Linked DNA regions of Stegostoma tigrinum. The protein of the gene in region 1 purifies or fractionates together with the protein of each later gene. This does not show direct contact. Links are inferred from orthologs where the notes say so. Each region holds a gene or a part of one and is shown in the gene's direction. Other genes may lie near its edges. The genes, in order: protein argonaute-1, tarbp2, trinucleotide repeat-containing gene 6A protein-like and tnrc6c1.

What was found.
Region 2: the proteins of protein argonaute-1 (region 1) and tarbp2 purify together in Homo sapiens (co-immunoprecipitation; 4 studies listed by BioGRID and IntAct, with this or other methods). This does not show direct contact. The link is inferred for Stegostoma tigrinum from reciprocal best matches to the Homo sapiens genes AGO1 and TARBP2.
Region 3: the proteins of protein argonaute-1 (region 1) and trinucleotide repeat-containing gene 6A protein-like purify together in Homo sapiens (affinity purification with mass spectrometry; 10 studies listed by BioGRID and IntAct, with this or other methods). This does not show direct contact. The link is inferred for Stegostoma tigrinum from reciprocal best matches to the Homo sapiens genes AGO1 and TNRC6A.
Region 4: the proteins of protein argonaute-1 (region 1) and tnrc6c1 purify together in Homo sapiens (affinity purification with mass spectrometry; 5 studies listed by BioGRID and IntAct, with this or other methods). This does not show direct contact. The link is inferred for Stegostoma tigrinum from reciprocal best matches to the Homo sapiens genes AGO1 and TNRC6C.

What each region holds. Positions count from the first base shown.
Region 1 is NC_081377.1:21,413,543-21,421,585, reverse strand, and holds the start of protein argonaute-1, read left to right. Parts: upstream 1-4,916; 5' UTR 4,917-5,025; coding exon 5,026-5,050; intron 5,051-8,043.
Region 2 is NC_081404.1:11,895,712-11,903,768, forward strand, and holds the start of tarbp2 (RISC-loading complex subunit tarbp2), read left to right. Parts: upstream 1-5,036; 5' UTR 5,037-5,131; coding exon 5,132-5,184; intron 5,185-8,057. UniProt on the Homo sapiens protein: Required for formation of the RNA induced silencing complex (RISC). Component of the RISC loading complex (RLC), also known as the micro-RNA (miRNA) loading complex (miRLC), which is composed of DICER1, AGO2 and TARBP2.
Region 3 is NC_081376.1:22,158,379-22,166,411, forward strand, and holds the start of trinucleotide repeat-containing gene 6A protein-like, read left to right. Parts: upstream 1-4,928; 5' UTR 4,929-5,053; coding exon 5,054-5,058; intron 5,059-5,347; coding exon 5,348-5,395; intron 5,396-8,033.
Region 4 is NC_081375.1:33,587,523-33,595,089, reverse strand, and holds the start of tnrc6c1 (trinucleotide repeat-containing gene 6C protein), read left to right. Parts: upstream 1-4,557; 5' UTR 4,558-4,805; intron 4,806-7,567. UniProt on the Homo sapiens protein: Plays a role in RNA-mediated gene silencing by micro-RNAs (miRNAs). Required for miRNA-dependent translational repression of complementary mRNAs by argonaute family proteins.

The sequences.
Region 1 (8,043 bases):
GAGGAGAGGGGACCTAATTGAGGTATACAAGATAATGAGAGGCATAGATAGAGTCGATAGCCAGAGACTATTTCCCAGGGCAGAAATGGCTAGCACGAGGGGTCATAGTTTTAAGCTGGTTGGTGGAAAGTATAGAGGGGATGTCAGAGGCAGGTTCTTTACGCAGAGAGTTGTGAGAGCATGGAATGCGTTGCCAGCAGCAGTTGTGGAAGCAAGGTCATTGGGGTCATTTAAGAGACTGCTGGACATGCATATGGTCACAGAAATTTGAGGGTGCATCCATGAGGATCAATGGTCGGCACAACATTGTGGGCTGAAGGGCCTGTTCTGTGCTGTACTGTTCTATGTTCTATGTTCTAAGTCACCCTGAGCATTTTCAACAACTTTTCAGTTGAAATACATGAGTCAAACTCACTTCAGATCAAACAAAAGCCTTCATTAAAAAGGAGCACCATGCAAGCTTTCTCTTTTAATGTAGTTTTTAAAAAATTGAGGCACTTCAGAGTTATTCAAGTATGACCCTGAAAGGCATAAGTATATTTGAGCTGATGATCAAAATCTTAGTTAAAGGTAGATTTTATGAACATCTTAAAGGACGTACAGCAGTGCAAGGAGGTGATTTCAGTGTTTCGGGTTCTTGAGAGGCTGCCATTGGTACAGCAATTAAGAGTGGATTAAAGATGAAGTGTTGGAGGAGTGCAGGTATCTACAGTTGGCAGAGGATAAAGATGAAGGGTAATGCCGCTAAGGAATTTGTAAACAATAATAAGAATTTCAAATCAGTATTGCTTAACCAGGAGCCAGGGTAGGATCAGAATCTCAGGAATGCAAAGTGAACTAAGTTTAATTTGATTTAGGATACAGGCAGCAGAGATTTCTATACGTTTACAGAGGTGTAAGATAGGTACTAGCCAGCAGTACATTGGAATATTGAACTTTTAAGGATAACAAAAATGAGAATGAGGGTTTCCAAAACAGCTGAGGCTCTGGTGTAATTGGAAAAGTGGGAATGGAGGTCTTGATGGCACAAGAATTATCTGCATCCTATGTAACATTCACCATTGTGAACCGTCTGGATCAGTCTATAACAGCTGCCAGGAAGAGGGCTGGAGTCAGTTGTTGGATAACATTCGTGATGGAACTGAATGCAATGGCTTTGACAGAGGAGATGTATTGAAGATAGATAGTGTAATCAACAGTTTCAGGTTGCAGACTGTTGGAGATGATGTGGGATATTTTACCATGGTCACAGTCATATTTTGAAACTTTGAGGGTCATTTCATTGCTAAGGTAGGCAGAAAGATGCTTGGAATATTTAATCCAATTTGGGAATTGACAACACATTTAAGGATTTTGAATATGTGAAGAGAATTGGAGATGGGGACTTTGATTTACATGGACTTCAGGGATAAAGATTTATTTTCTTTTTGAGGAGGCAGTGATGAGGCAGATTTATGGAGGGTGCAATACCTGAAGAGAATTATTTGTCAATTATTATTTATTTAGGGATAGGTAATGGCCTAGTGATATATGGCTAGACTATTAACTCTGAGACCCAGCCAACATTTTGGAGAACTGGGTTTGAATTCCACCATGGCAGATGGTGAAATTTGAATTCAGTAATCTGAAAAGGAGAGTCTAATGATGACCATGAAACCATTGTCGATCGGTAGAATTAAAAAATGCAATATGGCTCACTAATGTCCTTTTAGGAAAGGAATCTGCCATCCTTCTCTGGTCTGGCCTACATGTGATTCCAGACACACATCAGTGTGGTTAAGTCTTAATTGTCCTCTGGACAGTTAGAAAATGGCAAAAATTTTTCGCCCTGTTAATGATGCCCACGTTTAGTGGATGAATTTTTAAAAAAATTAACATCAACTTCCATGGTCAAGAATGTTCAGCAATTTAGTAAGAGTCAAATATGAGGAGGAACAATAGATAGATAGATAGATAGATGGATTTCTTGCAGAGGATAAAGTGTGGTCTGAGATGCCATAAAGAGACCTTGGGAAGAGAAACCTGCTTATGGCATGGGGACCTTTTGTGAAAATTTATCTGTGAGTTGGAAGAAAGCAACTGAACGGATGGTTTCAGTCTTGATCTTAAAGTCCATGAGCTCATCACCTTAGACAACAGAGGAGGTAGAAGGATAGTATAAGAAAATGGTTTGCAATAAAGTAGCCTGGGATAATCCTGTAATATCGACCAGTTTTGGTAAAATATAGAAGCAAGAGCATGGAGAGGCAAACAATGCAGGAAATTAGAGCCCAGCTAGTCTACCGTTGAGAAAATTCTGGAATCCATTACTAAGAAAGTAGTAGCAATAAATTTAAATTTATAATCCATCAGAGTCAACATCGTTTTCTGAATATCATGTATAACAAATTTTGAGTTTTTGAGGAATTAACACGCAAAGCTGAAGGAAAAGCAGACAGTGTATTTGGATTTTAAGATGTTTGATTAAAATATCATGGGGAAAGATTATTAGCATCTAAGAGAATTATTTCTAAAATCTTGGAATAAATAGAATCATTTGGTAAACAGTAATTAGTGATATAGCACCGAATTGGTATTGATAGCTTGACTGAAGAGATTGATTGCATTGTCGCCAAATTTGCGGGTGATTAAAAAGGTAGGCAGGTGAGGAGGCTACAAAGAATTTGAAGGGGCACGTGTTTAGTGGACAAATTTTTAGCAATTGAAATATAATGTGGGAAAATGTGAAGTTGCTTACTCTGGTAGGAAAACTAGAAAGCAGAATATTAATTAAAATGACAGTAAAGAATTCCAGGTGCCTTCATACATGAATCTCAAATGCTGATTCAATAAGTAATTAGGAAGGCAAATGAAATGGTGGCCCTCCATTGCAAAGGGTTTGAGTCTAAAAGTAGGAGCATCTTATTACACTATACTGTGACTGAAACAGAACCCGAAGTTCTATATACAGTTTTGTTCTCTTAGTTCAATGGTGGATGTGACTACGCAGGAATTAGGACCAGTAGCGTACTATTCAGACCCTCAACCTCACTCTGCCATTCAACTAGAACATGGCTGATCTTTTTAATGTCATTACCCTGCATAATCCTCATCATTTATCGATTTTTAGATTTCAAAGTTATATACTCCCTTACCCATATCTGCAGTAAAAATCTATGTCAGGAGAGACTTTAAAGGAGCAGAGGAGGAGAGCTGGTGTTACTGTTCTCTCTCTTATAAGGAAACAGTGATGGGATAGATTGCATATGACAGGAGAGAAGCAGGGAAGATCTAAAATTTTCAGTCATCCAACAAAAAGGCAAAAAAATTCAAATGACAGCAAGAGCACAGAAATATTGAGGAATCTTAATGTTGAATTTTAAGAGAATATCCAAAGAAAAGAAAAGCACAGTGGTTGAAGAGGAGTGAACTTTTATTTAATTTTTTTAAAAAAATCTTAAGTGTGGGGTAGATGAAAGCTGCATGTCAACGGACTGCAGGTCATGATTCTGAAAACCTCTTCAGAGTCTCAGCCTCCCCACCAGGAGAACAGTCCCAATTTTATTATATCCTTGGCAAGTTTTTTGGGTATCACTCTTCAATGCGTTCACATCCTACAGACAAGCGTTTCTCACCGCCCCCCCCCCCATCCTCCTTCCTTCGAACCAAACAATCCCTCCAATATGGAAGTAGATTTTTTTTCCCTCGAATCCACACTGACCCTCCGAAGAGCCTCCCACCCGCCTACTGTATCCCTGTAACGCTGCATTTGTTACGTCCGATACACCTCGCTAGCCCATGTGCGAAATATACACAGTCGCTGGAGAGTAGAATTGAATCCGGGTCCCTGGCCACGTGAGAATCAGTGCTAACCACTCAGCCACTGCATGACGTTCTTTTGTAGTCTTCTTATCCATTCTGTGTTCTTGCTGCCCTAAGGATCTGTTTCTAAGCCCTTTCTTTCTTGATCCCCATTCTGAACTAGCAAAGAAGTCATAAAGCCCCAGCCATTTTATGGCAAACGTTGGTAATTCTGCAATGACGAACGTCTGCCACGAGAGGGAGGCTGGACCATTTAAAAGTGCTTCCGTGTGTAATTTTCAAGAGAACATATACGTGTGTATTGTATTTATTTCACACTTTATAATAACATTTTAGTTTGTTCATTATTCTAGCTTTTGCGTGTTCAGTGCTGCACATGTATGACGTAGTATTTTACCTTATCCATTGCTTTGTCCAGGCAACAAAGTTAAAATCGTAGCTTTCTGGAACACCGAAGCAAATTAAACGATTCCCTGCTCATGAAGACAGCAGGCCAAGCAGCATCTTTAGGAACACATTTGGCCTGCTGTGTTCATCCAGCTCCACACTTTGTTCTCTCGGATCCTCCAGCAGCTGCAGTTCCCATTATCCCCGCTCATGAAGACTCTGTTGTCTAAATGTGCCGCTTAAAATTGACTACTGTAAAACAGACTGCTCTCAACTTGTTCGATGATAAGCTGGTGTCAGTACTACGCTCTTTTTTCTGAAGAAGGTTCTAGGCCCGAAACGTCAGCTTTACTGCACCACTGATGCTGCTTGGCCTGCTGTGTTATCCAGCTCTATACCTCGTTATTTCAGCTTCTCCACCATCTGCAGTTCCCTCTGTCTCTCTGACAATTTAAGTCCGTTTTAAAGAGTCCACACGTGACCCACAGTAACCACTCACTACTGCTCCTCCAGCGTCCGCAACGTGGCGCTACCTGCTACCTTAGGTCGTCGTCTGCAGGTGCGTCGTGACATTACGGGAACGTCACTCATTGTGTCCGATGGATTTGGGTGGGGGGGAAGGGAGGTGAAAGTGTTAGGCGCATGCGTGGCGGAAGAGAGCCGGCTGCCGGGGCAGTTCCATGAGACGCGTGCGCAGTGGCGGCCCCAGGGAGCCTAGGCGGCGCATGCTCAGTGTCAGTGTGCGTGTTGGGTTGTGTAGAGTTGGTCCGTGGGGAGGTCGCGGGGGTTTGAGCCTTTACACCCGGGCAAATCCGCTCTCTCACGCTGGTATATGGGATGGAAGCGGGGCCAGCGACAGCAGGTAACCTGGTGGGGAGCGGGAATCGAGCTTGTGGTTATTTTTCTGTAGTGAGCTTTGGGGGCTCAGGGAAAGGGTCTTCTGAGGGAGCATGCGCAGTACCGCAGTAGCAGGCAACAGAGTTGTTTTCTTAAGAAATAAAAACAGGCTAAAGCTGCGAGTGCAAAGCTCAGTGCACACATTGCAGGGCAGAATAAAATCTCATTTTGCTGCACAGCACTGGTGTAGACCCCGTAGAATCTCTACAGATTCAAACTTTTCGTTGAGCTGCAGGTAAATGCATCACATTTGACGGAGAAATTGCTCTTGGAATGTGGACTGCAAAAGCTCCCAAGTCATATACATCTCATTTGTTTATTCGGAAAGTTAACTAATAGTAAAAGACAGTGCCGAGTGATATGAAGTAAGGCATGGACTTCCGAATAGGGTAAAGAAACAAAGCACTCTTATGTTGTTATAGCGGGATGAAATGATGAATCTCTAGATATGGCATTCTGGACACTATTGAGTGCTGAGACGAGTTTTTGTGATTGACAAAAAAAAACTCAGATTCTTCAGAGGATGCAGAGAAGTGTCAAGATCAAAGGATCTAGGTATGGGCAAAGACTCTTCCCCTTGGAATAAATGATCCTTTGTGAAAGCACGTAAATCAAACAATACACAAAGCCTCACTATGGTTAGGCAGGAAACCAATATGTTGGGAAGAAATGATTTGGGCTTGGAAGAATTTCTTCAAAGAGTAATGAACACAACTTTGAGGTAGGTTAGTGTGAAAGCTATCTTAGTTATTTAGATGTTGGATAACTTTAATTTGGGGTGCAAGTGGGTGGGGAAGAAAGGAAGATTCTTTTCATATCTGCCTCGATCTTCACCTGTGGAAGTAATGGCATATTTACCCTCTAGATTCATGCTGTTGAGCATTTTGTGTCAACCAGATATTTAAGTTTTAAATTTTCCTGGGTGACAGTGTGGCCACCAGAACAGTTTAATGTCGCACCTTTAATTTTTGCACCTTTTGCTGTTATGTTTGCTTATGAAACAATACTAACTATAACTTCATGGAATTGGTTGGCTTTGGAGTGCTTTGTGTGGTTCAGATGTCGTACATCTACATGAGAAGGCTGAGGGTTTCAAGTGTTTTGAATGAGACGTTAAACCGTAGACCCTTTTTGCAACTGAGGGCTCTAAAGATTGCATGGTGGTATTTAAGAGGATCAGTGGAGTTCTGTTATCTCAGCTAATCTTCCTCACTGACCTTCACACAAATAAGGTAATTCATTATTTTTTTCAAAGACACAAACTGTGACCAAACAAAAAGAATGTTCATCTTTGTTGTCTCAAAAAGAATGTTAATCAGCTTTGTGAAATATCAGGGCAAAAGCCATCTAACCCTTGGTTAGACCACACCTGGATACTGTGGGAAGTTCTGAGCATGACAAATGGATATACAGAAAAATATACACATTTTTGAGATAGAACATTGTAGATTTACCCAAGATACAATCTGGCTGTCAAAATTCTGGTAAGGGGAAATTCTGAGTTGGGTCTGTATTAGCTGAAATTTAGAAAGTTGTCCAGTAATATGATTAAAGATCTCAATACTATCAAGGACAGGCATGCTACGTACAATTGAATTGAGTTAAGGAGTCTGGAGCCAGAGGGCATGATCTTAACCATTAGACCCACACAAAATTGAAATTAGGAACTGCTTCCAAATCCAAAGTGTGGTAGAAGTTGGGTAGCTGATCTTGCGATGCTTGTTAATTTCAAACCTGGAGTTTTTGTTAGGACAGACAGGGCCATAGTGACATGGATCACAGACAGCCATAACCTCAGTGAATTGTTGTCGATATTTTCTAATCAACCTGTTCAGAGATGTTATGACACCTATCAGGACCAGGTGGGATTTGAACCCAGCCTTACTAATCTGGAGGTAAGGTCACCACCAGTGTACCACAAGAGGCAGTATAAATTGAACGATTGTACAGACTTCAGCTAAATCGCCTACACTTGTTCCTGCTTCAGCAGGAGTATTGTGTGCAGGTGCACTTGAGTAAAGACAGGAGGGCTTTGAAGAGAGTGCAGAAAGGATTTATAGTTATGTGGCTAAACTGCAGAAGCTAGGGTTGCTCTTATTTCAAGTAGAGAGGAATAAGAGGAGATTTGATTGTGTGGTGTCACGGATGGTTTAGGTGGAGCAAGGAAAGGTAAAGCATCTGTTGTTGGAAGAGTGAACAACAGGAGGACAAAGTTTGTAGGCTGACTGTAGCAAGTGATACTACTTTGGCAGTGAATGTTAGGATTCTAGTGCACTTCCCAGTAGTGTTCTGAATATAAATTCAGTAGTAGTGTTTAAAGCAAGAAAAATATTTTTGGAACAAAAAAATGTAGAAGTTGCTAGAGAAACTCAGCAGGTCTGGTAGCATCTGTGGGGCGAAAACTATTAACATTTCAAGTCTTAAAGAACCATAGTACTTTGTAGGCTCACAACTAACTACATTTAAGCTAATCTAAAATTGCTGCTTGGACAAGTTCAGCATGAGCTGTCAAATCCAATGCAGGTGCACTAAAAGTTTGTGCTGTGATTCTTAGTGGCTGAGAAATTATTTCTAAATTATCTAAAATCCTTTTTAGAATTGCAAGTGTAAACATTGTCTGCAGTGCAGCTAGGTTTTTGTTTTTTCTGATGTGTAACTTGTGTTTTTTGTATCATAGCAGATTCCTGTAGTTCCTGCTGGTTTGTTGGTCAACTAATAATCAGTTCAACAAGACTGCCTTATCCCAATAAAATGCAAGCATTTTGACATGAAAAAACTTAGGTACCAGTAATCATTCAATCTTTTTTCAAGAGCAAGACAAAACAAAAGGTGTTTGAGCTAGTGGCAAGACTGACAGGCAGGTGTCAATTTTATTTTGTGTTGGCATAAACAGCGTGCTGCTTGACCATGAAGCTGTACTCACTAGATTCCCAGACTTGCACTGCTGACTTTGTGAGT
Region 2 (8,057 bases), on another chromosome or scaffold:
TAAAATTCCAAGGTTGTTTAAGGGTCTTGACACACCCATGCATGAACAAGTGACAAGCTTAAAAGACCATAATTGAGTGGGTAAATCTGCCTGGTCCCAAGTGCAAGTCCCTCCTGTTTTTCAAACTCAACTACACAACCTCAGAAATGAAAATTCCACTGAATGTTTCAGGTTGTGACCTTTCATCAAGGAAGGATATTTTGACATATGGTGGGGTGCAGCAGTTTCCTCAAAATCATAAAAGATACATAATTCTTTGAAACACAGGTAGAGGCAGTGGTTAAGACAGTGTTTAGCACACTTGTCTTCATTGTTCAGATGTTTGAATACAGGAGTGGGACATCACGTTGAAGTAGTACAGAATGTTGGTTAAGCCTCTTCTGCAGTACTGTGTGCAGTTCTAGTCACCCTTCTATAGGAAGGATATTATCTAACTGGAGATGTTCAGAAAAGATTTACTAGGATGTTGCAGGGAATGGAAGGTTTGAGTTATATGGAGAGGCTAGATAGGTTTGGGACCTATTAAGGTTTATAAAATCATAAAGGGCATAGATAAGGTAAATAGCAAGGGTCTTTTCCCTATTTGGGGGAGTTCAAAACTAGGGGGCATATTTTTAAGGTGTGAAGAGTTTTTTTTAAAAAGGATATGAGCAGCTACTTGTTTTACAGTGGTTCATGTGTAGAATTAACTGCCAGAGGAAGTGGTGGGTGCAGGTACAGTTACAACATTTTAAAACATTTGGATTAAAATGTGAACAGAAAGGGTTTGGAGGGATATAGGTCAAACACAGGCAAGTAGGACTAGTTTAGTTTGGGAACATGGTCGGTGTGGACGAGTTGGACCGAAGGGTGTTTGTGCTGTATGACTCTGTGACTTTATTTGGTATGAATACTAGGATCACTTTGAATTAATGTAGCCAGTCGTTTGAGCTTTTATGGATTGTAATGGTATTATCAGTTACAAAAGGAAATAAAGACTTCTGCAAAGTTGCTGGAAAGGCTCAGCACGTCTGGCAGCATCTGTGAAGGGAAAAAACAGAGTTAACGTTTCAGGTTCTTTCTGAGGAAGTGTTACCGAACCTGAAACATTAACTCTGATTTTTCCTTCACAGATGCTGTCAGACCTGCTGAGCCTTTCCATAAAACGTTGTTGTTGTTATTGTTGTTCCTGATTTACAGCATCTGCAGTTCTTTCACTCTCAAGCAGATGTTCACCTGCACATCTGGCAATGTGGTATACTGTATCCACTGTACCCGGTGTGGCTTCCTCTACATTGGGGAAACCAAGCGGAGGCTTGGGGACCGCTTTGCAGAACACCTCCGCTCGGTTCGCATTAAACAACTTCACCTCCCAGTCGCAAACCATTTTAACTCCCCCTCCCATTCTTTAGATGACATGTCCATCATGGGCCTCCTGCAGTGCCACAATGATGCCACCCGAAGGTCGCAGGAACAGCAACTCATATTCCGCTTGGGAACCCTGCAGCCCAATGGTATCAATGTGGACTTCACCAGCTTCAAAATCTCCCCTCCCCCACCACATCCCACAACCAGCTCAGCCTGTCTCTGCCTCCCTAACCTGTTCTTCCTCTCACCCATCCCTTCCTCCCACCTCAAGCCGCACCTCCATTTCCTACCTACTAACCTCATCCTGCCTCCTTGACCTGTCCGTCTTCCCTGGACTGACCTATCCCCTTCCTACCTCCCCACCTATACTGTCCTCTCTACCTATCTTCTTTTCTCTCCATCTTTGGTCCGCCTCTCCCTCTCTCCCTATTTATTCCAGAACCCTCTCCCCATCCCCCTTTTCTGATGAAGGGTCTAGGCCTGAAACATCAGCTTTTGTGCTCCTGAGATGCTGCTTGGCCTGCTGTGTTCCTCCAGCTCCACACTTTGTTATCTTGGATTCTCCAGCATCTGCAGTTCCCATTATCACAGGATGATAGAACATAGAACAGTACAGCACAGAACAGGCCCTTCAGCCCACAATGTTGTGCTGACCATTGATCCTCATGTATGCACCCTCAAATTTCTGTGACCATATGCATGTCCAGCAGTCTCTTAAATGACCCCAATGACCTTGCTTCCACAACTGCTGCTGGCAACGCATTCCATGCTCTCTCAACTCTGTGTAAAGAACCCGCTTCTGACATCCCCTCTATACTTTCCTCCAACCAGCTTAAAACTATGACCCCTCGTGCTAGCCATTTCTGCCCTGGGAAATAGTCTCTGGCTATCAACTCTATTTATGCCTCTCATTATCTTGTATACCTCAATTAGGTCCCCTCTCCTCTTCCTTTTCTCCAATGAAAAGAGACCGAGCTCAGTCAACCTCTCTTCATAAGGTAAGCCCTCCAGTCCAGGCAGCATCCTGGTAAACCTCCTCTGAACCCTCTGCAAAGCATCCACATCTTTCCTATAATAGGGTGACCAGAACTGGACGCAGTATTCCAAGTGCGGTCTAACCAAAGTTTTATAGAGCTGCAACAAGATCTCAATGTGCTTTGTTTTTTTCATTCCACATTTGTTTTCTTTATATCAATGTTATAGAGGTTTTATGAGATGATGAGATATTTTTCTAATGAATATAAGCCAGATTCTGGTGTGAAGACAAAAAAAAAATGACATTTGCTATTACACAGGTCAGATGTGCACTTTGCAAGCTACAAAAATGCACAGATCAGATCTTACCAAGCTCCAAGGAAAATATGCCCCCCACTTCTGCTGTGTAGATGAAACTAGTGGGGTGGGGTGGGGTGGGGGAGTCATATTGGATAGTACAGTTTTTGGAAAGTTCTCTATGACTGAAGGGAGGCTATTTCCCTCCCATTTTCTAGCTTTATTCCTGGAACCACTTATTTCAAAGACCCGCTGAAGTAATATTGTTGACTTCAGGAAATGTTTAGTTGCTTGTCTATTATCAGGACAGTTCTTTCTGATGTGGTTTTCTTTGCTTTATTTTGTTACTTGCATTTAGTATTGCAAATAAAAATGAATTTAATGTTGGATATAATATTGTCAAGTTAAATGTCATCTCTGAACTGTGGGTATGGAATACAAGTCTTTATTCACCTTTTATCATTGATTATACCATTATATTCCACAAAATCCAGGGTGTGACTACCTGAATTCCTAATATTCATACTAGATGTGTCAAGACTCCAACATACATTGGAATTTTAGGAGTTGAAGCAGTATGTAGATGAAGGTTTAAGTGGCAAACTTAGCTGCTGCAGGTATTCTCTTCAACCTGCCAGCCAGAAAACTGCAATTCCCTGAGATGAAGGGTTATAAGATGACCAAAGTTTTAAAGCAGTGTTGACTGGAAAGTATCACAACTTATTTTGGGACAAGCAGTCCCTGTACACACGTTGCAATTTTTTTTAACGTCACTTCTTGGCAATACAACAGGCTTCACTCAGAATTGATACACCAGGGGCAGGATCTGGCCAGCTTGCCTTCTACTGAAGGCTAGCTAACAATCATTTACACATTTTTAAAAAATACAAACATAATTCATTTCTTTTCTTCTGAACCTATACTCTTAAACTGTTGTACATTTTGCTGTTTCCTTACCATCGTCTGGCATTGAAATTTGACATATTTGCCATCAGCTGGACTGTTGCCAGTATTTGGTTTATTCTCCCCAAATCTCCCAAAAACAATTGTATAATTTTATTTTAGCTGTGCGTAAGTGGGATGCAAATCTGTCAATCTCAAACTTCGCCAAATATTATACTTTAAAGAAATCAAGGAGCCAGCATAGAGACAATAATTATTTTTGAATCTTGTGCTTTTGGACTGATCAGATGATTTTAAAAGTAGATTAATCTACTGTTGTGATACAACATTTGCTTAAATCAAGGTTGCCAAACTCTCTGCAGGACTAGTAAACCAAATGTACATTCTGTTTTGCTCAAGACATTTTATTTTCTTCACTTGTGGGATGTGGACATCACTGGCTGGCTAGCATTTTTATTGCTCATCCCTAGTTGCTCTTGAGAAACACTACAGTCCTTGTGCTGTAGGTTGACCCACAATGCCCTTAGGGAAGGAATTCAAGGAATTTTGACCCAGTAACAGTGAAGGAACAGCGAATATCTTTCCAAATCAGGATAGTAAACGGCTTGAAGAGGAACTAGCAGATTGCAGTGTTCCCACGTATCTTCTGCCCTTGTCCTTCTGGATGGAACTGGTTGTGATTGGAAGGTGCTGTCTGAGGATCTTTGTTGAATTCTGCAATGCATCTTGTATGTGGTACACACTGCTGCTACTGAATGCCAGAGGGAGTGGATGCTGTGCCAGTGGTGGGCTGTTTTGTCCTGGACGGTGTCAAGCCTCTTCAGTGCTGTTGGAGCTGCACCCATCCAGACAAGTGGGGAGTATTCCATCACACTCTCGACTTGTGCTAGGCAGATGGTGGACAGGCTTTGGGGGCGGGGGGTGGAATCGGGAGGAGTTAATTGCTGCAGTATTCTTTGCCTCTGACCTGCTCTTTTGTAGCCAGCATTTATGTGACAAGTCCAGTTGGGTTTCTTGTCAATAATCACTACAACCATGTTGACAAGTGGGGAATTCACTGATGGTAACAGCACTGAATGTCAAGGGGTGTTTAGATTGTCAGTCGTCTTCTTGAAGATGGTCATTGCCTGGCATTTGTATGACGCAAATGCCATAAAAGTTCAGCAACTATTGTTACAGGAAAGTACAGCCATATTCCCTTGCAGTACATGCTTCAGATTAAGCTGCACAATTGCTGCTAATCACAAGTTCTACGTGCTGGTTACTTTGTGATTATCATATTTCCTCTAAAGAGATATAACAGCAAGAATGTTTGCAAACTCATTCTAATTAATAAATTCTACCAAGTCTTTGTATCTTTTTTTAAAAAAAACCTGTTGTGTACTTTGGTAGTAATATCTTCCCTCGTGCCCAGGCGCTCCGCTGCCATTTTGAGCCAGTTGGATCTTTAGCGCGCTTTTTGGGCCTTGACCGCTGAACCGGAAGTGGTGGCAGCAAAAGCCGATGCGCCTGCGCAGTGGCGAACGGCGTTGGTGCTTATGCAGGGACCGAGCAGCAGGAGTCGGAGCCGCCGCCGTCTGAGCCACGATCGCCGGCACTGTCATCTGGGATGACGGAGGATCGGGCCGCTGCTGCAGCCAAGAAGACTTCCAGCTGTCCCAGGTATAGAGCGAGCCGGAGGATATCCGGGTTTTAGAATTGGAAGTTCTTTTGTTTCCTCCCTGTTCATTCACTGCTTGAGCTGCAGTAGCAGAAACCCGTCTGCTTTGAGTTACATTTGTATATAGCCTTTCCCATTTTCGGGACCTCCCAGTGCGCTTTGCGAGACTTTCGAAGTGCAGCCCCATTTGTGAGGTAGGAAGCTACAGACAGTTCGCAGGCACTTCCAAGTATGTGACTGTGATCTCAGAGCATCTAATTTGAGGGACAAAATAGTTGTCACAAAGGATCTTACTCTCCTTATTTTCGAAATAGTGCCGTTGCACCATGCCTGGCTATCTAAGAGGGCAGATTTACTTTAAGTGGATCCAGGTATGTCTGACAATGTCCTTCCTGGAAAAGTGGAATTCAAGCCTGAAATCAGCTATGATCATGTTTAAGGTTGATGGGCCTTACAGAATCATAGAAGCCCTATGGTGTCGAAGCAGGCTGTTCGGCCCAGCGAGTCCGCACAGACCCTCTGGAGAGCATCCCACCCCCACCATGTTCCTGTAACCTTGCATTTCCCAGAGCTAATTCACTTCACTTGCATGTCTGTAGACACTATGGGCAATTTAGCTTGGCCAAGGCACCCAACCTGCACATTGTTGGACTGGTAGCCATGATGTGGAGATGCTAGTGTTGGACTGGGGTGGACAAAGTCAGAAGTCACGTGACACCAGGTTATAGTTCAACAGGCTTACTTAAAATCATAAGCTTTCAGAGTGCTGCCCCTTCATCAAGTGGAGTCAACCTGACAAAGGAGCAATTCTCTGAAGGCTTGTGATTTTAAATAAACCTGTTGGACGTATAACCTTTGTGTCACCTTTGAACTGTGGAAGGAAACTGGAGCACCTGGAGGAAACCCACACAGACACTGGGAGAATGTGCAGTCTCCATACAGACAGTTGCCCAAGGGTGGAATCGAACTCTGGTCCCTGGTGCTGTGATGGTCCATTCCTATTTCTGTTCTTTGGATTTTTGTGCTCTTAACATGGATAACAAATCCAGAACTTAGAGGCAAATGTGCTACCAACTGAGCCACACCTGGCACACAAATAAAATCTTAAAATGTAGAAGCAAAATTCAGTTGCTGAAGCCATTAAGTCTGGCATTCGATGAGAGCATGCCTGATCCCCATAACCCTTGATTTCTTTACTGATTAAAAATCTGTCCACCTCAGCTCTGAATGTAGTTGGTGACTCAGCCTCAACAGCTGCAATAAAGAATGCAACAGATTCACTTCCCTCTAAGAGAAGAAATTCCTACTTGTCTCTTCTTTGAATGTGCAACCCCTTATTCTGAGATTATGTTGCTTGGTCGTAGACTCTCCACAAGGGGAATCAACCTCTCTGCATCAACCCTGTCAAGCTTTCCCCCCCGCCCTACCCAAGAATCTTGTACATTTCAATAAGGTCACCTCTCATTCTTCTAAATTCCAATGAGTACAGGCTCAACCTACTCAACTTCTAGGCATAAGACCATCCCTCCATACCCAGGATCAGCCAAGTGAACTTTCTCTGGACTGTCTCCATTGCCAGTTTATCTTTGCAGATAAAGGGACCAAAACCGTTCACAGTATTCCAGCTGTGGTCTGATTATTGCCATATCTAGTTTTGCAAGACCTCCCTATTTATATCAAAGATGAAGATAGGAGCAGGAGTAGGCTATTCAGCTCCTTGAGTCTGCTCTGCCATTCATTATGATCATGGCTAATTATCGAGCTCAAACCCTAGTCCCACTCTTCCCAAGCTCCTTTGAAATGAAGGCATGACATTCCATTTGACTTCCCTATTACTTGCTGAACCTGGTTCTTTGTGGTTCATGGGTGATGACTCCCAAATCTCTCTTGTTCTGTAGCTTAAAAATCTGTCTATCTCAGCCTTGAATATACTTAGGAACTCAGCCTTGACAGCCCTCTGCAGTAAAGAATTCCATTGATTCACTACCCTCTAGAAAAGAAATTCCTCCTCGTCTCTGTGGACACCACATTCTGAGATTATGCCTGTGTTCCTGAACCCTCCCACAAGTGAAATCAACCTGCTCACACTGACCCTGTCAAGCCCTAACCATCTTGCTTCTTTCAATAAGATTGCCTCTCATTCTTCTAAGCTCAAACAAGTTCAGGCCCACCCTACTCAACTTCTTCTCATTATGACAGTCCCTCCATACCTGGTGTCAGCCACATGAACCTTTCTCTGGACTGCCTCTAATACCAGTTCATCTTTCCTTAGATAAAGGGCCCAAAACACCTCAGTATTCCAAGGCTGTGGCAAGTTTTAGAACTGAATCCACCCCCCCCCCCCCTGCCATTTTACACTGTTCCCTTTAAAATAAAGGTCAATACTCCATTTGCCTTTTCTCTTTGAATGCTAACTTTTTGTGTGGAGCCGTAAAGATTCATTAGGTCCAAAAAGAAATATTTATTTGGATGAGGCATCAACAATTTGCATAGAAAAGACTGCTAGACACACATGCACCCATCTTCCATATATTTAAAGCAGGCAAGTTAGAAGGACATAAACACAGGTTTACATCAAAATGCTTCCAAAATATCATTTCTCCTAACATTAGGTTGTTATGCAAAACCGTTTATTGTAGACTGCAGTTAATTGACCGGTCTCGTGAGTGGCATTGTGGCTTTACCATTAAACAATGGGAACATTTCACTTGGCTCCAAATAACCAAGCAAGCAATTGCTTCAAGATTAGGATATCCCTGGCTGGATGACACCAGAAAAACCAGGATTTGGTTTGTGACTGTATTGGTTTAATCGGTAAACATCTACCCATAGTTCTGAACAAATAAGGAGGGTACAGGGTTAGGGTTGTTAAGCT
Region 3 (8,033 bases), on another chromosome or scaffold:
CACATTATGCATGCTGCTGTCTCTGTGTGCTAGTGTGACATTTGAGTGCCTGTTTCATCCTGAATGGTCACACAGCACAGAAAGACCCTTCCATCCCACCAATCCATACTGAACATAATCCCAAACTAATACCATCTGCCTGCTCCTGGCCCATATCCCCCCCAACCCCTTCCTAGTCATGTACTTATGCAAATGTCTTTTCAACATTTCTAATTGTACCCACATCCAACACTTCATCAGGAAGTTCATTCCACATATGAATCACCCACTGTGTAAAAAAACAAATTGCCCCACATATCTTTTTTTAAATCTCACTCGTATCACCTTTAAAAAATGGTCCCCCAAGTCTTGAAATCCCCCATCCTAGGGATAGACAACTATCATTAGTTCTACCATACCCCTCATGATTTTATAATCTTCTCTAAGGTTACCTCTCGACCTCCTACGATCCAGTGGAAAAGGTCCCAGTCTAACCAGCCTTTCTTTATAACTCAAACCTTCCATAACCGGCAACATCCTGGAAAATCTCTTCCGACCTGTCTCCAGTTTAATAATATTCTGGTTAACCAGAACTGGATACAGTGTTTTATAAGGGGCGTCACCAATGGCCCGTACAACTCTTCAATGTGACTTCTCAACTCCTATACTCAAAGGATGGAACATTGCGAGCAAGTGTGCCAAATGCCTTTTTACCCACCTTGTCTACATGTGATGGAAACGTAAAAGAATTATACACATGAACCCCTGGGTCCTTTTGTTCTACCACACTATCCAAGACCCTACCCTTGTTTGTTGTACCAAAATGCAATATCTTGCATTTATCCAGATTGAGTTCCATCTGTGATTTTTCAGCCCATTGACCCATTTGATCAAGACAGCTTCTTGAGCATTCTTGGATCTGCACTCATCCATGCAAGGGGAGAGTATGTCATCACACTTTTGATTTGTGCCCAGTAGATGGACTTTGAGAAGTCTAGAGGTGAGTTGCGTGATGCAGAATTCATGGCTTCATCTTGTAGCCAGTTCACCTTCTAGTAACTGGTAACTCCCAGTATGTTTAAAGTAGGGGATTCAGCATTTTTAGTGCCATTGAATGTCAAGAGGCATTGGTTGGTTTCTCACTTGTTGGAGGTGTTCATTCCCTGGCACTTATATGATGCACCTGTTCCTTATAAACCCAAGCTTGAATTTTGTCCATGCCTTGGTATTTGAGGAGTTGTGAATTGTGCTGAACATTGTACAATCTTCATGAACATCCCTACCTCTGATCTTATGATGGAAGAAAATAATTGAAGGGATGGATGAAGGTGTTTGGGCCTAGGACACCAGTCTGAGGAACTCTTGCAGTGATGTCCTGTGGCTGAGATGATTGACTTCAAACAATAACAACTATTGTCCTTTGTGCTACATATGACTCCTTTGATTCTGATTGACGACAGTTATTCTAATACTGTTTGATGCCACATCCAATCAAACACAGCCTTGATGTCAAGGACAGTCAACCTGGTATTGCTTAAGTCTGTCTAATCACATGTTGCTAGTACTGCTGCTCTGTGGCTTCACCAAGTTGACATCTAATCGTTAGATATACTTGGTGCTGCTCCTGACGTGATGTCTTGCACTCTTCATTGAACCAGGGTTGATTCCCCTGCTTGGGCAATCCCATAACCAACAGATCAGATCCTAGCTCTGCAAATCTGCCACATCCAGTCATTAACGGTACTGGACAACTAAGCAACTCACTTGGAAAAGTAGGTTCCACAAATAACTCCATCCTTGTCGATTGGGAAGCCCAGCCCATCAATGCAAAAAACGAGTTCGAAGCATTTTCAGTCAGGAGTGCCAAGTTGACGATTCACCTTGGCCTCTTCCTAAAGTTACAGGATCACAAAAGCCAGCCTTTTGCCAACACAATTTGCTCTACATGATATCAAACAACGGCTGAAGGCACTGGCTGCTGTAAATGTTACAGGTCATGACAACATTCTGGAAATATACTAAAGGTTTGTGCTTGTAATCTTTGATTTGGGGATCTCCTAGGCTATGAAGTCAAATGTTGCATAAAGTTTTGGTGCTGCTGATCCACAGCACATCATGTTGCTCAGTTTTCATTTGCTAGATTGGTTTGAAATCTAACCAATTCCACACAGTGATTTTGCCACAGAAAATGATGGAAGTATCCTCAAAGTGAAGTCTGTAAAGACAGTGCGATAATGTCAGGGACAGGTGTATCCGCTAAATGTAGATCATTTAGGATGAGGTCAATTATATTTTTTTCGTTTTGTTGGTTCTGTCATTGCCTGCTGCAAGCTCAGTATTGCAGCTATGTCCTTTAAGATTCAGACACATTTGCTAATAGTGGTGCTACTGAGCCACTCTTGGTGCTGTACATTGAAGTCCCCACCTGTGTACATTCTGTGTCCTTGACACCATCAGTATGACCTCCAAGTGGCTATTAAAATAGAGTACAACTGATTTATCAACTGTAGTAAGTGGTAATAAGCAGGAGGTTTCTTTGGCCATGTTTAACTTGATCCATGAGATTTCATGGGGCCTGTAGTCAAACTTGAGGAATCCCAGGGAAACACTCTTTTGAATGCCTATCACTGTGCTGCTACAGTGGCTCTTTTCTGTCATTGGGCTTGTGATCATGGTGTCATGGACAGTGCCTGTCAGATCTGATTCAATCAGAATGACTATGTCTAGCAGTTGGACATATATACCAAAATTGGGAGAAGACTCTTGATGTTAGTAAGGAGGACATTTTAGGGTCAACCAGGGCCATTATCACTTCTGGTCTGCCTGGTTTCATCTCCTTTAACAGACTTCGTTGTGGTTAGGTACAACTCCTGGACATTTACGAATCAACCACAGTACTGTGAATATGCAGACACAAGTAGAACAGACCAGGTGAGGATTACAGATATCACTTCCCTAAAGGGCTTTACAACACTTGTGGCCACCATTGAATTCCGCATTTAAATTTGGTGATTTCAAATGTCAGGATTTTTTTTTGTAGTGAGATTCAAACAAAAGTCCTCAGGGCCTCTGGAGTTACTGGTCCAGTGATAATACCACTCTGCTGGCATCTCTCCAATGCTACGGCTGAAAGTGCCAGAAGTTGCCAATAAACTTTGGGCTCAATCTCACAAGAAACTAGTAGGTAGAGAGAAGAAAGTCTGAGATTAGTGTTGAAGATGTAGGTTTCTAAATTTAGGATTAATTTTTATGAGGAGAAGGTTTTCTCATTGAAAATGTACTGTGAATTGTCAAGGGATTTATAAAACAAAGTAAAGGGATCTTTTGACTGATAAAGCTGGTACAATATCAGTGTTTAACAGTATAATATTTAGGAGTTTTACTCAAAATCTAACCTTCGCCGTACTTGCCTGGAGGTATTAAATAAAAGAGTGTTAAGTCAGTTTTATTCTACGTTTAATTCATGATATGGTTAACTTCAGATGGTTTGAATGGCTTTATTCTGAGCTATGCCTGATGATGATACACAGCACCCAACAAGGGAAATTGTTTAATTCACCAACAGATTTCTATCACTTTGATTATGGATATCTAACAATGATGAGTCAAAATACAGAAGGGAGATAAAGAGCTTGGTGACTTGATGCAATGAAATCAATCTGTCTCAACGTCAACAAAACTAAAGAACTGATCATCGACTTCTTAAAGAAAGGAGGAGAACACACTCCCATCTAAATCAACGAAACTGAGTTTGAGAGAGTGAAGAACATCAAGTTCCTCCGAGTGATGATAACTGGTGACCTGTCCTGGACTTCACATAAATGCAAGACAAGAAGGCACAACAATGCCTCTTCTTCCTCAGGTGGCTCAGGAAATTTGGCAGGTCTATAATGTCCTTCACCAACTTCTACAGGTGCACCATTGAAAGCATACTGTCCACGTGCATAATGGCTTGGTATGGCAACTGCTCTGCCCAGGACTGCAAGGAACTACAGAAGATGGTGTGCACAGCCCATACCATCACAGAAGTCAACCTTCCATCCATGGACTCTACTTAAATAGCTCTCTACCGCATAAAAGCAGCCTACATCATCAAAGACCCATCTCACCCTGATAATGAACTCCTCCAACGTCTTCTGTTAGGCAGAAGATACAGAAGCATGAACACACACAGTGACAGGTTCAGGAACAGTTTCTTTCTGGCTGTTATCAGACTGTTGAAAGGACTCTAGCCTCAAATAATGTAACCTGTATGTCTTTGGTCTGTACATCCTTTGCTGTAATCTGCCTGTACCGACCGTAAACAATGCTTTTCACTCTATTTCGGTACACGTGACAATAAAATCAATCAAATCAAATGCAGAAAAAAACACCAGATAATTCAACTGTGGTAAAATAATACCAAAATCTATTGAGATTGGAATGAATTAAAAAGTAAATCAATTGCAGGGGTAGTCCGTCGAAACTAACAGCCGAGCGAACTCAACTGCTTGAGAATGTGAAAATGCCCAAGGTCGAATATTCTATGAGAACAACGGTAAAATGGAGTTTGGAAACTTGAGGTTGGAAAGCACAAATATGTGATCGCTCGATGAGGACAAGTTGTACAGTAGAATATCGCACGAATATTCTATGATGAACGGGCAAGGGTGACTTGAACTGGGGAAACTACATGAGGAGAAAACTGGGTGTGCACAATGACTGTCTTTAATTTAACTTCCAAACGCGATTTTTGAGATAAATATCCAATGACTTCCTGTCTCCGAACTCCCTTCCAACGCTAGAGAATTAATTATTATTGGTATTCGTACATCCTTGAGAGCTTACTGTCAACTTACAGCTCGTTTTCTTTCCTGCCCTCCCCTCAATGCTGAGCCGGTTGCCATGTGATCAGCCATTTGCGGACCGGAAGTGCCCAGCCGCGCGCTGTTGGACCAGTTCCTGTCAGTTAGGAGAAGATGGCGGCTGTGGAAAGTGATCGCTGTGTTTGGCGCCGCGGCCACTCGCACACTCACTGTTAAAGCCTTATTCGCATGTTTAGCTTTCGAATTTCTCACTGTTGCACTTTACATTAATGAGGTGTGTAGATTTATTTTTTCCCTGGATTGTGCAAACGAGCCGGCTCGGGAGCACGCAGTCCACCGACCGTTTTGTTTGATGCTGTGTCGCCGCTAAACGGGGGAGCGTCGGGTAATGGGGTGGAGAGAGTGAGAGAGAAACAAGTAGGCCCCTCTGTTGCTGCAGCCGTAGGATAGGGCCTGTGTGCAAATCCCGCATTGCAGCGCTCTGAACTTAAGGCATTTCTGCGGTTTTGTGCTTAAAAATAATACTCAAAATAGCCTTCTGATTGTCGCCTGTTTAATTGCAGAGGATTGGAGGCTAACGCTACCAAAGAAGCTCAAGGTAAACTAAACAGGTAAGGTTTGCCTTTGGTTCATTTTGCAGTTAAATATATTCAAGTTAAATTTGGGGAGGAAAATATCTGGCCTTCACCCACTCATGTATAGCCTCCTCCTCCTCCCCCCCCCCCCCCTTATCTCGCTTGAGTTGAACTGTGAAGAAAAATTGTAGAATAAATACTGGAACTTGCAAATGTTGCATATACTATAAAAATAACTGGGATTGGATCGGGGTCAGGAAAGGCATGGCGTGTTGTGCCGCCCAACCAGATGTTAACTGGTAAACATGCATTTTGCAAGAGTCGATCGGCCTCGCTGCAAATTAAGGGATGTAAAGTGCAGTGTATACAAATTTAGAAGTAATTCAGATTTTTCAGATGTGGTTATTCTTTCAACTGGCTGTTACTTTGAGAGCATTTACTTTGCTCCTCCATTTTTTGAAGGTAGTTATTATCTTTCATTGGTGAATGAGTGTTCCTGTAGTATATTATCATTGTTGTTATTTCTTAACTTCAAGTTCTAGGGTGAGCTTGCCTTGTCCATACGGTTCAGTTCCGTATCGTGTGTGTGCGTGTGTGTATCCTCAGATGCCAAAAAAAACATGATTCCTCAATCTGTTTAAATTTTTATAGAAATTGTGAAGCTGCTAAACATTTGAGAGACGTTTATAAATGTAGGAAAATGTTCTGACACATTTTCAGTAATAAGATATCCCAACATACTTCACAGGACTATGACCAGATCCACATTTACACTAAATGAATGAAAATGTGAAGACTAATGGTAAAAATTTGGTTAATTAGGTGGTTTCTAAGGCTTAAAGAATAAAATTTATAGATGTAGCTGGAGGCAAAAGTGGTGAGCAGGAATGTAGGGTGCAGTGGAGGGCCACATTAGTCATGTGCCATTCTCAGAATTATGAGACTGGATTCAAACATTAGCATGATGGTAATATCGTAAAAAAAAATACAGGCAGTGCAAGCATGAATGGGACAGGCTCCAAAATTTTGGATTCGTTACCTCAAAACAAGCTTCTGTTTTGAGGTTGAGATGTTTTGAGGTTGTGAAAGGTGCTCCATTAGCTTATAAGATAACAAGGTGTAGAGCTGGATGAACACAACAGACAAAGCAGCATCAGAGGAGTGGCAAAGCTGATGTTTCGGGTTGAGACCCTTCTTCAGAAATGAAGATGTCTGACCCATTCCTGAAGAAGGGTCTCGACCCGAAACATCAGCTTTCCTGCTCCTTGGCCTGCTGTGTTCATCCAGCTCTACACCTTGTTATCTCAGATTCTCCAGCATCGGCAGTTCCTACTAGCTCCAAAAGCTTACGTTGGTTTTCTATCCACCAAATGCTGAGTTTCTGAGATCACATTGGATGCAATGTTGAAAGTGCAAATATGGGAATATAAATCTTACTATTTTCAATGATTGCCTTGCCAAAAGGGCAATTTTATTTATTTTTTGATTATGTATGGTAGGTTGCTGCTGCTTAAAAAACTTTGTTCTTTTTGACAACATCCTGTCCCTGCGTTGTTGTGCCTTTTTCTGTTTCAGGACTGGTTGTTAGGAAGATAGGGCTAGGACTCGGTCAAGTTAACCTTCAACATATGAGGATCTTGACAGTAAAAGCAGATAATAGTGACAGGATTGACATTTGCATGGGTTTGTGAAAGAGAAATCATACTTCACAAATCCTCTAGCATGTTTTGAAAACGTAGCCAGTAGAGGTGATCAGTCAGGGCTGGTGCATGTGGCTAGTTAGACTTTCAAAGGACTTTCGAAAAGACCTCATGTAAGAGATTAGTATATAAAAATTAAGGTGCAAAGGATTAGGGGTAGTTTACTGACATGGATAGAGAACTGATTGTTAGCAAACAAAGAATAGGTTTCTTTTGAGTGCCAGAAATGGACTTTTGGGGTACAGGCGGGAGTCAGTGCTTGGTCCTCAGCTATTCACAATCAATATATTAATAATATTGATGAAGGAACTAAATGTAATATCTCCAAGTTTGAGTTTAATTTGGGTAAGTATGAGGTGTTGCATTTTGGTAAGACGCACCAGGGCAGGACTTATATAGTTAATGGTATGGTCTTGGGGAGTGTTAATGAACAAAGAGATCTAGCGGTGAGATGCACGGTTTCTTGAAAGTGGAATCATGGGTAGACAGGGTGGTGAAAAAGGGACTTGGCATGCTGGCCTTCATTGGTCAGTGCATTGAGTACAGGAGTTGGGATGTCATGTCACGGCTGTACAGGACATTTGGTGAGGCTGCTTTTGGACTACTGCGAACAATTCTAGTTGTTCTTCTGTGGGATGGTTGCTGTAAAACTTGAAAGGGTGCAGAGAAGATTTGCAAGGATGTTGCTGGCCTGGTGGGTTTGAGCTATAGGGTGAGGCTGAATAGGCTGGGGCTATTTTTGTTGGACCATCGGAGACTGAGGAGCCTCCTTTGTAGAGGTTCACAAAGTCATGAGGGCCACAGAAATGGTGAATGTAGCCAAGGCCTCTTGCCTGGGGTGGGGTAGTCCAAAACTGGAGGGCATAGGTTTAAGGTGAGAGGGGAAAAGATTTAAAAAGGACCTGAGTCCTTTTCACCCAAAGGACGGTGTGTGTATGGAACAAGCTGCTGGAGGAAATGGTGGAGTGGGTACA
Region 4 (7,567 bases), on another chromosome or scaffold:
GCTTCGTGCAGATTCACACAGACAGCAGCTTCTGGGACCTTACCTGTAAAGGGTCACACTTGCTGCTTAATTTCAAGCCCTTTGATCACAAAAGGAAATGTATGGATTACTCCAACCATTACAGTTTGGCATCACCCTTGTGAAATGCAAATTTAATGTTGCCCTCAACATTTTCAGTTAGCGCATGGACAAAACATTACAAAGGAGTTGTGCCAGTATGAGGAGGCATTGCAAGGACATTTGAAAGTTTACAAGCAGGATTTTGGCTGACTTTAGTACAAGACTCTTACAGAGAAGGTGGGAAGGATTTGCTAGTGTCGCAAGTTATTTTAATAATTGTTTTGAACCTTACCTAGGACATACTGTTGTGGAAAGGCATCAAGAGAGGTGTCAAGGGAATTTCCTGCACCTCAGTACTGGACCTGGATACAGTTGTTCTTCAGAGTACTATCTATTCTGGAGGAGGTTCCTCTTGCAGTCCAGAGGAGATGAGTGGGAGAACAGGCCAGGGCCTGATTCACACTGTGGTTCAGGAGGAATGAACTGACAGTTGATTACGATCCTGTGGAAAAAATCATCATCAGCAGCAGGAGGACAGAGGGAGGAGAAGGCTCTATTCTACCAACAGAGTGTACCAGCAATGTGTGACATACTCCTAAAAATGTCAGAATGCCAATGGCAGAGGAGACTCCTTGAAGTGAAACAGTCACATCTCTGTGTGGCATGTTGGCTGTGGAGATTGACTCAAATTGTGTTCGTGGACTGTCTGTACTTGTGGTGTGGAAGGTCACAATAGTCCTGAATTTTTTGATGTTGAGTTCCTTCAAGTCTTTACCTGGAGACCTTTCTCGGATCCTGCAGCTAGCTACTCATTATCACATGAAGCTTTTCATAGATACAGCGTTCACGTGCCTCCATGAGTTTATTTCATTTAGCACTGACAACACAAGTCAAGCAGATGGTACCAGAGGCTTTGCTAACATTGTATGGTATCCAAAAGTACAAGGAGTCATAGATTGCACATAGGTGACAAATAAAACTCCTTTGGGAAAGCTAGGGACAGTCCTGAGCAGAAAATGCTACCATTCCATTTATGAGCATCTTGGATGTGATCATGGTCAAAAGGTGTGCACTCGATATCTTAGAAGATGTCGTGCTAACATGCTGAGATGCTCCCAGGTGCCAGGGACCTTATTTGTTCTGAACCTTTGGTGGCATATGGGTAACAAGGGAGATCCCCTGAAGAGATGGTACATGACTCCGGTACTGAGCCTAATAAAAGTTTTAAATACATAGAGTGTACTGAAAATGAGATATTGATGTTTGGACAAGTCAGATGGTGTTCGATAATGTTCTCCTGCTTGAGCCTCACTTGTTGTTGTGGTATCGTGTGTCTTGCACAACCTGATGCTCCCTCAGAGTGAGGAGCGGAGTGAACCTCATCATTGAATGAGAATTTGAGGATCAGCCTGATGATGACCAAGTTAAGCCACGCTAGCTACCTGCACAAGTCAGTGCACAGAATGCTTTGTAAGCTGGGGCGATGCAAAATACTCTTATAATGCAAAAACATTTTCACTTCTAATCTATAATTTGGTCCATGACACTATCTTACCTGATCTGCTTTTGGAATCTCCCAGTCATTAACACCAGGACTTCCGGTGCATGTGCAATTGTGACAATCAGAGAGGCCCACTTCAGTACAAACTCAAAAGCATACAGCAGATACAGATCAAAATCAACATCTTGAGTTCACATGAATTTGGTCCTGATCTATTGCTGGCTTGGATTGGGTAGAATTTAAATAGCCTTTTGCTGCTCAGCCTTGGAGAAGTAAACAGTGACTGGACATATACTTTTACCAGTGGAAGACCAGTTTCTGACAAACAATAGATGCAATATTCACCAGTCAATTAACTCACAGCTTTCTTATGATGTCTCAATTTGATATTGTTATTGCATGTTTATAAACTCGAGTATGTTTCTTTTAGCTTCTGGCTTCCTCTGCAAGTAAGTAAAAGTTCCCAAGACTGGTTTAATTAATTTCCTTCCCACTACTCTTGGTTCCCATCATCTCTGCTTGTGCTACTGACTCTCTCTTTTCTCTCTCTCCATGCAGTTGGCAATCACCTATCAAGCAATAATCACACTCTCAGAGAATAAGTGACCTGAAGAAGTACTGAGCAGTCTCTCAGTGGCCAGTGCTGGAGGTCTTCAGAGTAACTAATCAAAGGCTTTCCAGCTTGTCAGTTTTACTGAAGGAGGCCTTTAGGCTATGCGCTCATCTTGCTGACCCTGCTGAGTTGCTGACAGTTTAAAAAAAAAACACAGATTTTACAGTTGGAAATCCAAGATTCAAGGCTTAAGATCCTTATAATTGGTTATTCTACAATTTCTCTAAAATTTCTTAATTACTTCCCCATCCGATTCAAGGGTGTCCCTTGCTCTCCATTATTGTGAGCAAGGGAAAGTCAGAGCAGGATGGTGTCACATCCATATCCCATCGCAAAGTCAATTTCTGAAACTTTCCCAACAATCCAACCTGCCCCCAAAGGCCTGAGGAAACTCAGTCTACTTCATTGGTAAGTTTTTTTTCCCGTAAATGCATGGCTTCTGATGTTGACTGACCAACATAACAGAAGCTGTATATTTTTCAATTTTAACATTATCTGAAAAGAAAAAGCCCCTGATAAATAAGCAAAATAAAGGTGTAACAGTATATCTTTTGGTACTTTACTGAAAAAGAATGACAGGTTGTTTGAGCGTTTGTGAAAAATATGAACTAGATTAATTTGTAAGATCTTTAATGTGTGCTGGCAGAATAATTGATAATGATGGCTGTGTGGATATTATGTCTTGTGTAAGGGGAAATGTAAAAACCACAGATGAGACACAATATAAGTTCAAAATTATACCTGTGTGTGTGTGTGTGTGTGTGTGTGTGTGTGTGTGTGTGTGTGTGTGTGTGTGTGTGTGTGTGTGTGTGTTTGTGTGTGTGTGTTAGTATGTGCGCCAATTTGACAAAATCACAAGCTCAAAGTGCATAAACATCTAATGGGAAGTGTTTTGTTTCCTTAACAGATGCCCAAGCAAACTATTCATTTCTATGTTTCAATCCATGAAATATGAACTAATTCCCAATCCTAGGGAAAAAAATGAATCCATTGCTTTTGTGCAGGGATGTAGCTGATCTCAACTGCCTCAATGATTTTTGGAATGAAGTGGCATAAGGTGGTTTGTTATTTAAACAGCAGGAACAAGAAACCTGTCAGATTCTGAGAATTAATCAGTGCTAATCGTAGAGGTTTGTCAACAGAAAATGGTCATTTTTTAATGTTCAAGAGAATAAAGGAAGTATAAAGAATTAGTGAGTGAGCTACTGGCTCATTTTATTTGTGGTAAGCATGAGTTAGATTTTTCAGGTTTGCACACATCAGGTGGTGTGAAAATTTAGAAATAGTGCATGTTCTGAGATATATCAAATTTAAATAAGTTGTTTGAATGCACTAAATAAATTGACCAAACGACAAATTAGAAGTAAATGGCTAAATACAAATTATTTCATTTCTTTTAGTTATATGTTGAATTTCTACATTTTAGATTTAGTATGTGCCTTACCAATGAAATTTTCCTTTAATATTCTCCCATATAAAAGCTCCTAATATTTAAAGTCACAACATAATACTGGAATAAGAACAGCATGACTGTATTCCATTCAGGGTGTTTTTGTAAGTATTTAATTTTTTAATTCATTCCACATAATTGAGATGTGAATCAAAATTGCTTCCTTTTTTAGCAGCTTGAAGATCACTGCTATTTATATTTGTTTACCACCTTCCAATAGTGATGCTGTTAAGAAAATTGTAGAAGTCCTAACATGCACATCACCATTGAAATATGATTTTTAAAATTAAATTTGCATTGTTTGCATTAAGAGCCCTTTATTGTTTAGTGTTATTCTGTTTATAAAATGGCTGCTGCATCTCTCCTCATTTCTGGCTTGACAAAATGAGACATATGGCATCACGTCTCATTTTGCTCTGTGCACAATCATTAACAGTATCTGCTTGCCTTTAGGTTAGCCACATAGATTTGCCAGGTTTGTACTGTAACTTCCAGTGGGAGAAACAAAAGAGTCCCCTCTCGTTCATTTACAAAGTGGTGCTTTGTAGCTTCACATGATTAATTAACGTACCGTTCAGCACAGTACAAGGCTGGCATACTACAGGTATACAAATATGCTGCAGTACAGAGCGGATTACGCACAAAACATTTTTTCACAGAAGCACAATTTGACACTGCTGGGAGTAATCAAATCCTGGACATAACTATGGTAATTGCTAATTTGCAAGTGTACAATTGTTTCGGAGCAAAGTTAGGCAAATTTCCAACTCATAGCGGGTCACTAGATTTCCTTGAAAATAGTCGCGTTGGTAACAAAAAGCTTAAGGAGGCAAGGGCTTCCCGATGGTACATAAAATTAAAAGTGTGATAAAATGGCCAACATCATTAGTATTTTCGCAAGTGTGTTTCATCGAATATTTTGATGGTGTGAAGTAAGGATGTGTGCTGTGGCTGCGTCAGCCTGTTTGAGTGTGATGTATTCATTTTGCAGTTGGCTGTTGCAGCCTGTATTGCAGAGCTTATGACCTGCTTTCACATGCAGCAGATTCTCCCATAAATTCTGATTCATATCCAGCAGCTGAATCCTGGGTCTTGCTGGATATTCTTTATTCGCTTTGTTTCGATTTTGTCGCCTTGAGCTGAATAAACTTCACGAAGCTGATGCCTGGCCGATCTGTGAGGTAATTTAGCGCTAATTAATTAGTGATGGTTGCAGAGTGCGCAGGAATTTCAGCCTGGCCTCATTTTTTTTTGTTTTTGTTTAGTCCACTTTTTTTGTACAGTATTTTTGTATCTGTACCTCAGTTTGTGATTACTAAATTCCTTCCCGCACGGAGACCAAGTCGAAGATATAGAAAGAAAGCAAAAGTGAGAGTTTCAACAGTCTACGCGTGCTTTCGCTTCTAATTTTCCCACCCGTTGTTAATTGTTTCATCGTTTTGAGTGAACCAGTTTTGCAGCGTTCAGCTGTTTCCACATTTTCACCTCAAGGCCCTATGTTTGGCTATTCAGTCGAGCAGTAGGCTCATTGCCAAGTTAGCACAATGAAGAATGGCAATATGCAGATTTGTCTTGTCTTCATTAATGGCAGCTGTAGAAAAAAAATGTTCAAGAGCTGATTACTGATTACTTAGAATAAGACCGTGGGAAAATCGTTGTCTGGTTAACGTATCCTACTGTGTTTGCCATAAGCCTTGCATCCAACATGGCTGACAAGGTTACCCTCCTCAGATGATCTCAATGCTGCTCTTTAAGTAGATTCTGCGCTGAAGCTTTTTGTCGCTTTAGTATTTGAGATCCATTAGGTAGGAGCCGAGTGCCTTCTCCATTACAGTACACTGTTGAACAACTGCTCGTCTTACTGATGCGAGCTGCCGGCGTGCACTCCACTCGCCTGTTTTGCATGTGTAATGCGACTGCGCTTAATGACTGTGAGTAATTATGCCAATCAAAGTTTGTCTGGCCTGTGATTTTTGAAAGTTAGCCAGTGCTGGGGTTAAGTTGGCACAGCAACTGTTGTTAGGGGAGCACTGAGCCTCTCACAGCAGCAGCCAGCTGAATTGTAATAAGAGAGTTGGCATCATTCCAGATTCCACAGCATTCAGAGGTATGGTATATTGTGCACGGGGAACTGGCTAATTAATCTTCCAGCAGGGAAGAGTGTAGCTTCAGACAATTATAAAGCGGAAAGGAAGATTAGAATAGAAACTGCCAGCTGAAGAAATGTTGATGATTTTGAATGATAAAGCTGGCATAAATAATGCACTTGAGTTAATTTAATGTAGATGTTCTGATGCTGTTCCATGCATTGACAAATTTGTTTTATTCTTTTTATAGGCAGCAATTAAAGAGCAGGAATAAAAACACTCAAACCTTCTTTTAACCTGGCTTACATGATTAGATTGTTTTAGAGCCCAGCACAGGATTGGGATACCACTACAGTATCTGGAGGTGTGTGAACTTGGTAGAATGGCTTGGTCTTCTATATAATCTGAGGAACTTTTTCTAAGAAACTATGCATTAAATAGTGATTGTTAACACTGACAACTGAACTCAGTTTGTAGATTTTGATAATTTCCCATGGCTAAACAAAATTAAAGATAATTTTTAAGCAGTTTTCAAACACATGATGCTGTAGTGATGTGTTGTGAGAAAATACAACAGACATTCTCAGAATACCTCATTCAATATTTATATTATTTATTTAAAATGCAGAGTTTATCCATTCTGGTTGTATACAGTGGCAATAATAAATCACTATTGTAGGAGGGAACAAGCGTGAATAAAGCATTTGTTTTTGCTATGTCAGTCAGTGGGGCTCTGTTCAGTTGTTTGGGGCCCAGCAAAATGGACAGTCATGCTCCATCATCTTGGTGTGTAGAATTTGGCAAGCTAATTAGTTTACTTCCAATGTGTAAATATGAAAGTATATCAGCCTGATCTAATAGCACTTTTTTTATAAAAGCGCATTAGTCTTGAAAGTTTTCAATAGTTTGCGTACCTGATATGGAGCCAATTGTTTCAATGTTGTGCTAATTAAGTTGTGTGTGCAGGAATACACATAAGGTTTATCCTGCAGTTTTTCAAAGAAGTATCATTTGTCATAGCTGATGCAAAGCCAACCTCTACAGGTCACAAGTTTTCTGACTGCAAAAGGCACAGGGTTGCTAGCAACTTCCTTGAAATATAATTACAGTGAATAAACCTTAATTTGATCTTTCTCACTACTAGTTAAGTTTGACCTTATGTAGCAAAGGAATCATGTTTCTTTCGAGTTAGCCATTGTATATTTCGGAAATGGCATCTCTAGAGACCCACCCTAGTCCCTTTGTCTTCAAAATTGATATAATAGAATTGTAATATTCAATATATGCCAGGTTAAATATTTGCAAAAGTAAAATTAGCGAATCTGACTTGATGCATGTTCTCCAATCATATGTTTTATGTACAATTTCCCAATCACATTTTAAAAGAAAACAGTTGGAATAAATTGAATGAATGTATAATACATACATTCATCAATCAGTATGATTGTTTTATGGTAAGCAGAAAGTTCATTTAATGTAGCTCGTAATATAAGTTGGCTCTTTTAACAGAGTGATGTTAAATTCTGTTATGCTGCTCAGGAAGTATGATAGTCCCTTTTCTATTTGTTACCTTGTTTGATGTGAATATTTTTAAAAGAAAAATTAATTAGCTCCACTGAAGACCAGCTATGATTCCTATGACCTGACAGGTGCTGATTGTGAGGAGAAGCTGGCTGATGAAATCAGATGCATTAATTAATAAGCATCACTGCAGATAGCATTTACACAGTGCTGCCTTTGTACTCAGAAAAAAAAGAATAGATTTGACTTTGGAAACATTTCCAGTTTGGTTTCTAACTTCTGGGACTGCTATTACAAATTCACAAAGCAAATTTCAAGAAATGGTGAACAGTGCA